2 linked regions of the Arabidopsis thaliana genome follow. The protein of the gene in region 1 interacts with the protein of each later gene in a pairwise test. Each region holds a gene or a part of one and is shown in the gene's direction. Other genes may lie near its edges.

Region 1 (3,830 bases):
AATGTGGACATCGGAGACATCAGATTTGCAGGGGAGAGATTTCTTAAGTGAAAACCAAACACTGGGTAGCTTTTTTTTCTTTTGAGTATCGGTGTTTTCTCTCTGTATCGTCTTCTTCTTCTTCTTCTTCTCGCTTCTTGTGCTTGAAGCTTCCATTTTTCTATCCTCTCTAGTCTCTTTTGTCTTCTAAGACAATAAGAACGAAAGAAGCAAAAAAAAAGAAAAAAACGTAACTTAACAAGAAATTTTTTGAAATGAATGGTAGCGAGTTTCTATTTTTTTGAATTGGAGAACCTTCTTCTTCTGGCAATTTTCTAGGGAGAGAGATAGTGAAGAGAATGGGAAAAATAATTATTGAGTCGTCAGAGCTCTGAAGATAAGAAGATACACAAAATTTGAAAATTTAAATGAAAACAAGAAAATACTCCCAAAAGTGTTTTTAGACTCAAAATAATGTTAGTTTTCTTCATCATTGTTAAATTCATATGTATTGGATACATGGGTTGATGGTAATATGAAAGGTCTTGAATATGGACAGCACAACGCAAAGTACAACAAACCAAGTGGAATAAGGTCGGAATCAATGTGGTTTAACGTAAAATGGATGGAACAAATAGTGTGAAATGGATATAAAGAAAATTTGAATGGTGTTCGTATTTACTTCTTATGAATTTTTCTTTCATGTTGTTCGATACGTCAAGACAATAGTTATTGTACTTAGGTAACTTAGCTATCTATGGTACTATTTGATTCACGAGGCCACAGTAGATTTGGTTGTCTTCAGACTAAAAATACAAGTATGTACAATCTCACATTTCCCAAATCTAATGCTTCCAATATGTTTTGCTTTTGCAGTTTGGATTGTATTTAAATCTTCATATACTGTCGGACAACGATACCTCCACAATATGTGTTTGTCCTTCGAACAAGCATTCGAGTCGAGAAACAAAAAAAAAGATTGGAAGTATGACTTGTCAATACCAACAAGTATTTTGTATTAAAAATTCTCATTTCTACAGTAACCTAAAAAGCTGTCTGTTTTCATAAATTTCCAATTACTTTTTCCTTTTCTTTCTAACACGAATAATGATTTTTTTAGGTCATGAAACGAATAATGACTATGTTGTGATTTTCAAGCATTAAAGACATTTCAACATCCTACACACTAAAGAACAATTCAAGTATTGTACATCCACCGATCTTTTGTTAACATCATAACCATCCCACCACGTTCACGTCACTCATTTTTTCAAATGTCTCTCATTGGGTTTACTTTCTTTGTTATCCATCTTCGGAGAAATTAGCTTGACATTAATACTTTTTTGACAAATTGTAACGTTTTCTCCGGAGATGGATAACAACGAAAGTAACGTTGTCTAAATTAATATTACAACTTTTGAGTTCTTACTAACTGAGAAGATTTGTGGCTTTTCAGCCACCACAATATGTCATACAACTTGCAACTGTTATTATCCAAATTTAAACCCACATAAAGAATACGTCTAAAAAGCAAACAATAATCATTACAACACTTAGTAAGTTATAACTTCTCCCTAACTTCTTTGAAATTTTGATAAAAAGGAAAATACATATGTACAAGAAGTGAAGAAACAATTTATTTGGGCCGAACAGTGTTAAATTTTGGGCCAGATAACGTTAAAATAAAAAGGAGTATTTCTATTTAACAAGCCCAATATAGCCCATATAACAATCCATTGAAATCATCGGAGAACCAAAAAAAGGACAAAGCAGGTGGGCGCACGAATCTCAAATCACGTCCCTTAAACTTGTAACAATCTGACGGTGTAGATTATCGATCCATGCAGTGTCATATCATTGGTCAGAAATATTTTCTATCTCGCCACTATATTAATCATCATGGCGGGTTTCGCTGATACTCATTATTGTTATTTTTGACAGAGAGAAATTTCTCAGTTACGCTTCATCCTCCTCTAAGAGATCTTTTTTCTATCTTGGGTAGTAGAGAGAAATGGCGGGTCGGGGAAAACAACTTGGATCTGGTGCAGCGAAGAAGTCTACTTCTCGTAGTAGCAAGGCTGGGCTTCAATTCCCTGTTGGTCGTATCGCTCGATTTTTGAAAGCCGGTAAGTACGCCGAGCGTGTTGGTGCCGGAGCTCCGGTCTATCTCGCCGCCGTTCTTGAATACCTCGCCGCTGAGGTAATCAGTCTCTTCTATTTATCACCTGTTTAATTTACTCTTTTTACCGAATTAAATGGTTATAGCTTGCATCTAGGGTTCTGGATTTTAGATTTTCTTACCCCTTTCGTTAAATTATGCGAAATTTGGAATATTTTAGAATGCATTAGTTCCTTAGTTTGTTTTTTTCTTGGGAAAAATTGTCCATTTTTTTTGTGTAGTTTTGAGCTCAATTTGTGTTTCTTTGTGCTCATCATGCTTATCGAAATTAGGGTTAAATTTGTTCCTTACTACTTTGAGTTATCATAGTTGGCACTGATTGATACTGTCAATTGTGTTCTCAAATTCGAAAAATGTTGTTGTTCACTTAGTTTTGTCTTTGGATATGTGAACATGTCTGCTTGGGAACTGAATTTGGTGCGCTCACTTTCTATAGGTACTTGAGCTTGCTGGGAACGCAGCGAGAGACAACAAGAAGACCCGTATAGTTCCACGACACATTCAGCTTGCTGTGAGGAATGATGAGGAGCTAAGCAAGTTGCTTGGAGATGTGACAATTGCTAATGGAGGAGTGATGCCTAACATCCACAATCTCCTTCTCCCCAAGAAGGCTGGTTCATCTAAGCCTACTGAAGAAGATTAGGTTCATTACGAAGATAGGGAAAGCTGGAAACTGGTTGATATCAGATAATGCTTAGGATTGTTTTTTTTTTCATTTGCTTTTCCTCTGCAGCAATGGAAGCTGTGTGGTTGTACTAGTTGTTAAGGTTACCTTTGTTTCACTTTATGTGAATATATGAAGAAATTGTTCTATTTCAGTCTTGACTCCACTTCTTTAGCATTGTTCACTGATTCATTTGTTGTTCCTGAAAGTCAATTTAAATTCCTTCGATAAGCTACACGAAACTGCACACATAGTCACATGTAACTTGTTTTTAAACTTTTTGTTTTGTTTTGTTTTTGGTTGAAAACTCGAGAAAAAAAGAATCAGTAGACCCATAATCACAGAAAAGTCAAGCCACCAAGCGATTCGACATAGACAGTGGAGAAGTGACGAGATTGAGAGAATCGAGGCGAGAGAGAGAGAGAGACAGGGACGATTCGGTTTAGAGCTCTCGTATGAGGTATATTTCAATTTCGTTTTCGGCGATATCTTGTGTCGCAAATGTCAATAAAACGAAATTTAGTAGATTGTTGATGAAAGTCATTGGCTATAGACTCTGTTATCCTAAAGAAGATTAGTCCATAGACTCTGTTACCCCTCCAGGTTTTAACCAAGACCCCCCCTACCTTGATCTCTGAATGCCAGTTTGATGCGTCATGGCATGGAAATGATCTACTTAGCAGTCATGGATCTCGTAATAGCCTTTTCTCGCATGTAAACTTATTGGTTCCTGAATGGCTATGAAATAATCTTTGGCATGTGTTCGAGAGCCCATAGAGTCATGTTCAGATCGAACGCAAGAGCGTTGAATAGAGCATTGGAGAGACTAAAGAATGTGCAGACCAAGGTGAATGAAGCTCTTAAGAGATCAGGGATCCAAGAGAAATCTTTGGAGCGAAAGCTGAGGATATGGCTAAGAAAGGTCGAAGAGAATGTGCCTCTTGGTGAGCTGATTTTGGAGAAACGCTCTTCATGTGCTATATGGCTGAGCGACAAAGATGTGGAAAT
Region 2 (6,318 bases), on another chromosome or scaffold:
CTACTGTGATGTATGTCAAGGTTGTAGTAGAAATTAGACAGACAATAGTAACAAGTAAAAACTAGCTACAGTAAAACCTCTATAAATTAATAATGTTAGGACTACGAAATTTTATTAATTTGGAGAGGTATTAATTTATCGATAAATTAATAAATATTAATTTATAGAGAGATTTTCCTAATTTGGTAACTTTTAAAAAAATTCTATAAGATTTTTTTCATTATAGAAAATATTTTCCTAGAACCAGTTACAAGTAAAATATAATAATAATGTCTAGAAAACAATACCAAAAAATTTGATCCAATAAAATATGAAAACTATAGTCAAACAAAGAACAAATATGAATTTAAGCAAAAATATATTATAAATATATTTTAAAGAATTTTTTTACTTATAATATATATATATATATAGTTGATATATTTATACAATTATTAATTTATGATATTGATAGGAACATATATTTACATAGAATTTTCAAAACAATTATTATCTTATTAATTTATCGATTTGTGTCACTTTTTACACTGGTCCCAACTCAGGACCGGAAAATTTTATTAATTTACAGAGGTTATTAATTTATAGAGTATTAATTTATAGAGGTTACACTGTATATGTGTAGTTAGAAGCTTTTTAGTCATCACATGATTTAAATTTATTTCTAAGATGAAATAGACAATCTTTAATTTATATATATAAATATTATTTGGGTTACTCGTATAAAGGTCTACCACTTTTCAGATGTTTAGAACTCTCTCTTCCTTTCTCTATCTAACAAACCCTAATGTCCATCCAATCAGTTATCCAAACTAAAAGAAGTGGACTCTAACAAACCCTAATGTCTAATCAGCTGTCCAAAATAGCATTTGGCTCATCCCTAACTAAACCTGAAATATATCAAAAAGTTAATTACCAATGAAAGCATATAAAAAACATTTGGCCACTTGCTTTCATGCTGGTCCCAGCTTTTGCACCCTTCCGTAGCCACACTACTCTTCTCCTTTTTTTTTCCTCTTTCCCCATTTCTATGAAATAGTTGTCTAGATTTTACGAGTCTGCACATCCTCATATATTTTTTTATTGATTTGGTGATCCAATTTTTAATATGAAAGAATGAAAAAAATATTGGGGTCTTTTTAAAAATGTAAGTCTTAAAAAAAAAAATATTAGAGAGAACCATATATCATATGAAAATGTTGATTTCAGTTTATCAATTAGGATGATAAAACTATTTAGTGTATTATTAAATGGTACCTTCGAAAATTTACATAATTTTTTCTTAATTTGTGTGAATTTTGTTTATAATTAATGATACTCTTAGGAAAAGTGAAAGAGAGTGAGTAGCTTTTTATTTATTTCTGATTTGCATTTATATTCAAGATTTAGAAATGAATAATACAGGTAAAATTTTCATCTATTGCTAACCATAAATGCCAAGTTTTAAACAATCAACCTTTTTATAATTCAGCAGTACTAGTCTACTAAACAATCATACATTCGACAAAAGAAAAAATTCAACCCTAAATTTGATTGAAGTATCCCACGAATAATGTCGAAGAGGAAATGTTCTCATCTACCTTTTTTGTTGCTGTTGTTGTCATCAACGTTCTCATATACCAATCTTTCTTTATACCATCGATATTATAGTATCTCAATTTAGTGTTCTTGGAAGGAAGGCCGACATACAATATTCTCGCGCATACAAATATTCTTCCATTACTACATACAACATCTTGCATATAGCCGACTCCCCCTGGATTGGTTGTATAACATTATGATTCAAAATATTGTTTAGGCAATCATCACTTTTAAAAAGAATTATATATCGAACTTAAATTTTGTAAATTGCTTTAACATAAATATATATATATATATATATATATATTTTTTTTTTTTCTTAGTAATTTTATTTTCACCATAATAGATATAAACGATGTATAGTAAATCATTGACGAAAATATTTTTTCTACAATTTTTTATCTATTCCATAACATTTAGTTTCGTCTCTTTTAAATAAAATATATCGTTTTTTATTGCCGTTAACTAATGTTATAACAAAACTGGTACATTACTACATTTTTAAAAAAATTACTTAACTACTATGTCCATCTCAGTATTTCGATAAGAATTTTTTTTTTTCTTATGGTACGCAACCCCATGAGTGAAGGGACCCTACTCGTTAAAAGACATAGAACATATAGCCTACATGGAAATTCCCAAATCCTTCACATTGCATATAATAATTTTGCCCCTTTAACTCTCATCCTCTCCTTAGGCTTATGTATTATCTTCCCATTTATTCAATTACCTTTATGATCACTTGGAATAGTTGTTGAAGTACAATACCCGTTTTTAAGGCAAGTGTCTGTTCGGGTTGATATATATATATATAGAGAGAGAGAGAGAGACTATATCTTTTCACCTATATAATTGCTCTCTTCTTCTATCTAAATCTTCAACACAAACATCTTGTTTGGTCCTATTTCTCAGATCGATCATGGCTAACTCTGTGATGGCAACCGAACAGCTCTGCTACATCCCTTGCAACTTTTGCAACATAATTCTTGCGGTATAATTGCTATACATATATATCTATTATATCTGCTGTTATATTATATATAATGGATCTATGCTTCTCCAAATATCGTATATATAAAGATATAATCAAGCATAGATCTACCTTTAATTTCCTTTGTACTATATATTGGTTTCTGATAAAGAGTGGTGAAGCTCTTTTCATCAGTTCCACTATCTTACAAATGTTCAAAGTTCTTATTCATTTAAATCTGTTTTAATTTATTTTTGTCAGTGACAAATATTTCATTTAGCTTATGGTGCCAGAGAGAAGTCACCATCCTTCTGCTATACATGACTTTTTTCAGCATCATATAGATTTATTTTCTGCTCTTTTCCTACTTTCCTCAAAGGAAAATCCTATTACGAGCATTTTACTTACCATTTTAAGTTATGACTCATAAGATAACCTATTTTAAAATGGCCATGCATATATTTGTGTTCCTTTTCTTTTTTTTTTTGTCAAAAATATGTGTGTTCCTATTCACTAATCTATAACAAATTGCGCATATTGAAAATGGAGTCACTTCCGGATCTTAAATGGTGGCTACAGCAAAACTTCAAAAGAGAAGATAATCATCTCTCAAGCAACTACTTTTGTTTAATGTCATAAGATTAGATTGCATTATTTCTATTTTGCCTTCTAAACCCATAAAGAACTTAACATGTTACCCAAAAAAAAAAAAAAACCCATAAATGATAGGAATATCTGATCTATATTAACAAGACAAGCAACAACTTTTTCTCCCTTGTCTAATGATAATTATCTTATAACAAATTTTAGTAGCATAAATTTTAGTATAAGCTTTTCGTCGATCTATGTCTTATGGATCATCTAGTAAACAGATCCAATTTTCCAAGAAAGAAGATCAATTAATTAATATTTGAGGTTGTGTTTGGCTAAAACGTGTAGGTGAATGTCCCATGCAGCAGCCTGTTCGACATCGTGACCGTCCGATGCGGTCACTGCACCAATCTGTGGTCTGTAAACATGGCAGCTGCTCTTCAGTCGCTTTCACGCCCTAATTTCCAGGTAACATCTCTCTCCTCAATTGTGAAGGGTTTATTGTAAATTTAAAAAAAAAAAAAAAAAAACTTGAACCAACCCTCTGAAATTTAGGGCTCTTTTGTTTGTTTTGAAAAACGAATGATAGACAGAAATCTGAGCCTCTAGTTGCATGTTTCTGTCTCCAGCCGCCGTCTACATCTACATAGCCCCAAAGAATTTAATATTACTTAAATATTTTACTCTTTTCAAGTCATGTTTAAGTTTATTTTTCCAGCTGTTACTGATATCTGCAGCCTTTTCGTAATTGCTTTTTCTTCATAGAGCCCTAGCTTTTGTTTGATCTATTACTGCTGTCGGTTACTTACTCTATGATTTGATTGACATGAATGTTAGGGTTTCTGGTTTCATAGGTTTGTTTTGTTTTCTATAAAATATATATATCAGATTCCTTTCTTTAAAGGTTTTGTCTTTTAGACTTTAACTACTCTTAAATATGAATGAAATATCTTTTAGTTGGTCCACTTTCTTTTTTCTCTTTTCATTTCCGAAACTAGACAATACATACATGATTGCTACTCAATCCTATTGATTCACCATTTTTGGTCTGAAAAATCAAAGAAAAGGCCAAGTGATTAAATACTCTAAACTTCTTAGCATTTATACTTTTATCAGGCAACAAACTATGCAGTACCAGAGTATGGATCCTCCTCAAGAAGCCACACAAAAATCCCTTCAAGAATTTCAACTCGTACCATAACTGAGCAACGGATTGTAAACCGTCGTAAGTATTGCTTACTATATAAACCTAAAGAAGTAAACATGAAAAGTAATTTGTGTACTGTATATGCTAAAATTATTATATTGTCTTTCAGCTCCGGAGAAGCGGCAGCGAGTACCTTCTGCGTACAATCAATTCATAAAGTAACAAAAACATTTTAGACATACATATATCTATATATCTATATAATGTTCAAATCTGTTAAGAAAGAGGTTATTGATTTGTGTGTTTATATTAAAACCTTTGAAGAGAGGAAATTCAGAGGATTAAGGCGAATAATCCAGACATAAGCCACAGAGAAGCATTCAGCACTGCTGCCAAGAATGTAAGTTTTTATTTCTTTTATATGTTCAAACAGTTTTATAAAGTACTATAAGCTTTTTTTAGCCAAAAGAAATATCTTAAGTTTTAGTAACCAATAAAGAATTATTGCGGCCTCCTTATTTAATTATAGTACATATGTCATAGTAGATGTTTTTTTTATTATTATTATTTTTTATTTTTTTATAGTTTTTTACAAATTCGACTTGGAGACCTTATGATTTGGAAGATACTCCATTTAATTTTATGAGTTGTGTTTGAAAACATATTTTAAGACTAAACACGTAGAGAACATTCTTAACAAATTTGTAAATAAATAAATTTAACTCTATTCTCTAGGATTTAAATATTATAGGTATATATATAATTTTCTAATAAGTTTATATCGAGTCACTCATACGAGTTGTGTAGAAAGTTAATCACGGGTACCAATTTTAAATTAAAAATAAGAATAATTATATGATCTTAAATTTATACAACTCTGATAAAAGATTGGGCTTTGACATCTTTGAAGAAAACTAGATTTAGTAATATTCTGATTAAATTGGGTTCACACTTTGTAGTGGGCACACTTTCCTCATATTCACTTTGGTCTAATGCTGGAGAGTAACAAGCAAGCTAAGATAGCCTAATAATGTAAGTGCTCTGTTCTATTCATCAATTGTTTTAGAGATTCACCTTAGTTATAAATTTTATTTTTATTGTAAACTAACATAAATTTTACTTTTATCTGTCTTGTTTTAGTCTCGAGATTAATGGTAATATAAGTGTTGGAGACTTCGAAGTAACAAGAGCTGAGAAGGCAACTATATGTATTGTATGATCTTTGGAACCGTATGTATGTAAGTGAAGATGTCTATCTTTAAAACCATCTATAGTTATAATTTAGTAAAAGCTTCTTTTAATTTATTTCTATGGCCCTTGTTGTATGGTTCGTCTCACAAGATTTATGAGTTCTTTCGGATATATGAATCTAAAATAAAAAATATGTAATCTATATTATGGTAAACCTATCTTATACTTGAATTATAAATAGTAAATATTACAATAAGTATTTTTTTTCTTTAACGATGTAGCAAATTCTCTATGAGTTAGTGGTTTTGTATCTTGTAACACGGAAACATTATTTTAGCTTTCGGGATACGGTTGTGGTTCTAATTCTTATACTGAATCATACACACGAGATCTAATTACGATGTAGCAAATTCCCTATGAGTTAGTGGTTTTGTATCTTGTAACACGGAAATATTATTTTAGCTTTCGGGATACGGTTGTGGTTCTAATTCTTATTCTGAATCATATACACGAGATCTAATTATATTTGACTCCAAAATACTGACCAAGCTTCTTTTTGATTTTCAAAGCTTTGATGGTGTATAAGAAGTCCTTATAAATTTTTTCTTTCGGATCTTCTAACAGGGAAACAATACTTTAGTACTTTAGATTTGAGATTCGGTTTTAGTTCTAATTCTTATACTTACTTATACACATGAGTTCACTCTCGAATAAATGACTCTCATTTATCCTAATTTGTTAGTTATAACAATTTTCATTGATTGATTTAATTGATAAATAATATTTTTGGTGTTTTTCCTATTTATCATTTTGATGCATTTATCTAACTCTTGAGTAAATG

What was found.
Region 2: the proteins of HTA2 (region 1) and YAB5 interact in a two-hybrid assay, tested with the Arabidopsis thaliana proteins (one large-scale study listed by BioGRID).

Annotation. Positions count from the first base shown.
Region 1 is NC_003075.7:13,636,486-13,640,315, reverse strand, and holds HTA2 (histone H2A 2), read left to right. Parts: upstream 1-1,880; 5' UTR 1,881-1,990; coding exon 1,991-2,179; intron 2,180-2,594; coding exon 2,595-2,801; 3' UTR 2,802-3,080; downstream 3,081-3,830. Other genes in the region: AT4G27240 (zinc finger (C2H2 type) family protein), read right to left, coding at 1-156; AT4G27220 (NB-ARC domain-containing disease resistance protein), read left to right, coding at 3,580-3,830. UniProt on the Arabidopsis thaliana protein: Core component of nucleosome. Nucleosomes wrap and compact DNA into chromatin, limiting DNA accessibility to the cellular machineries which require DNA as a template.
Region 2 is NC_003071.7:11,302,919-11,309,236, reverse strand, and holds YAB5 (plant-specific transcription factor YABBY family protein), read left to right. Parts: upstream 1-2,226; 5' UTR 2,227-2,497; coding exon 2,498-2,569; intron 2,570-3,487; coding exon 3,488-3,607; intron 3,608-4,255; coding exon 4,256-4,364; intron 4,365-4,455; coding exon 4,456-4,504; intron 4,505-4,610; coding exon 4,611-4,686; intron 4,687-5,245; coding exon 5,246-5,314; 3' UTR 5,315-5,318; intron 5,319-5,426; 3' UTR 5,427-5,782; downstream 5,783-6,318. UniProt on the Arabidopsis thaliana protein: Promotes adaxial cell identity. Regulates the initiation of embryonic shoot apical meristem (SAM) development.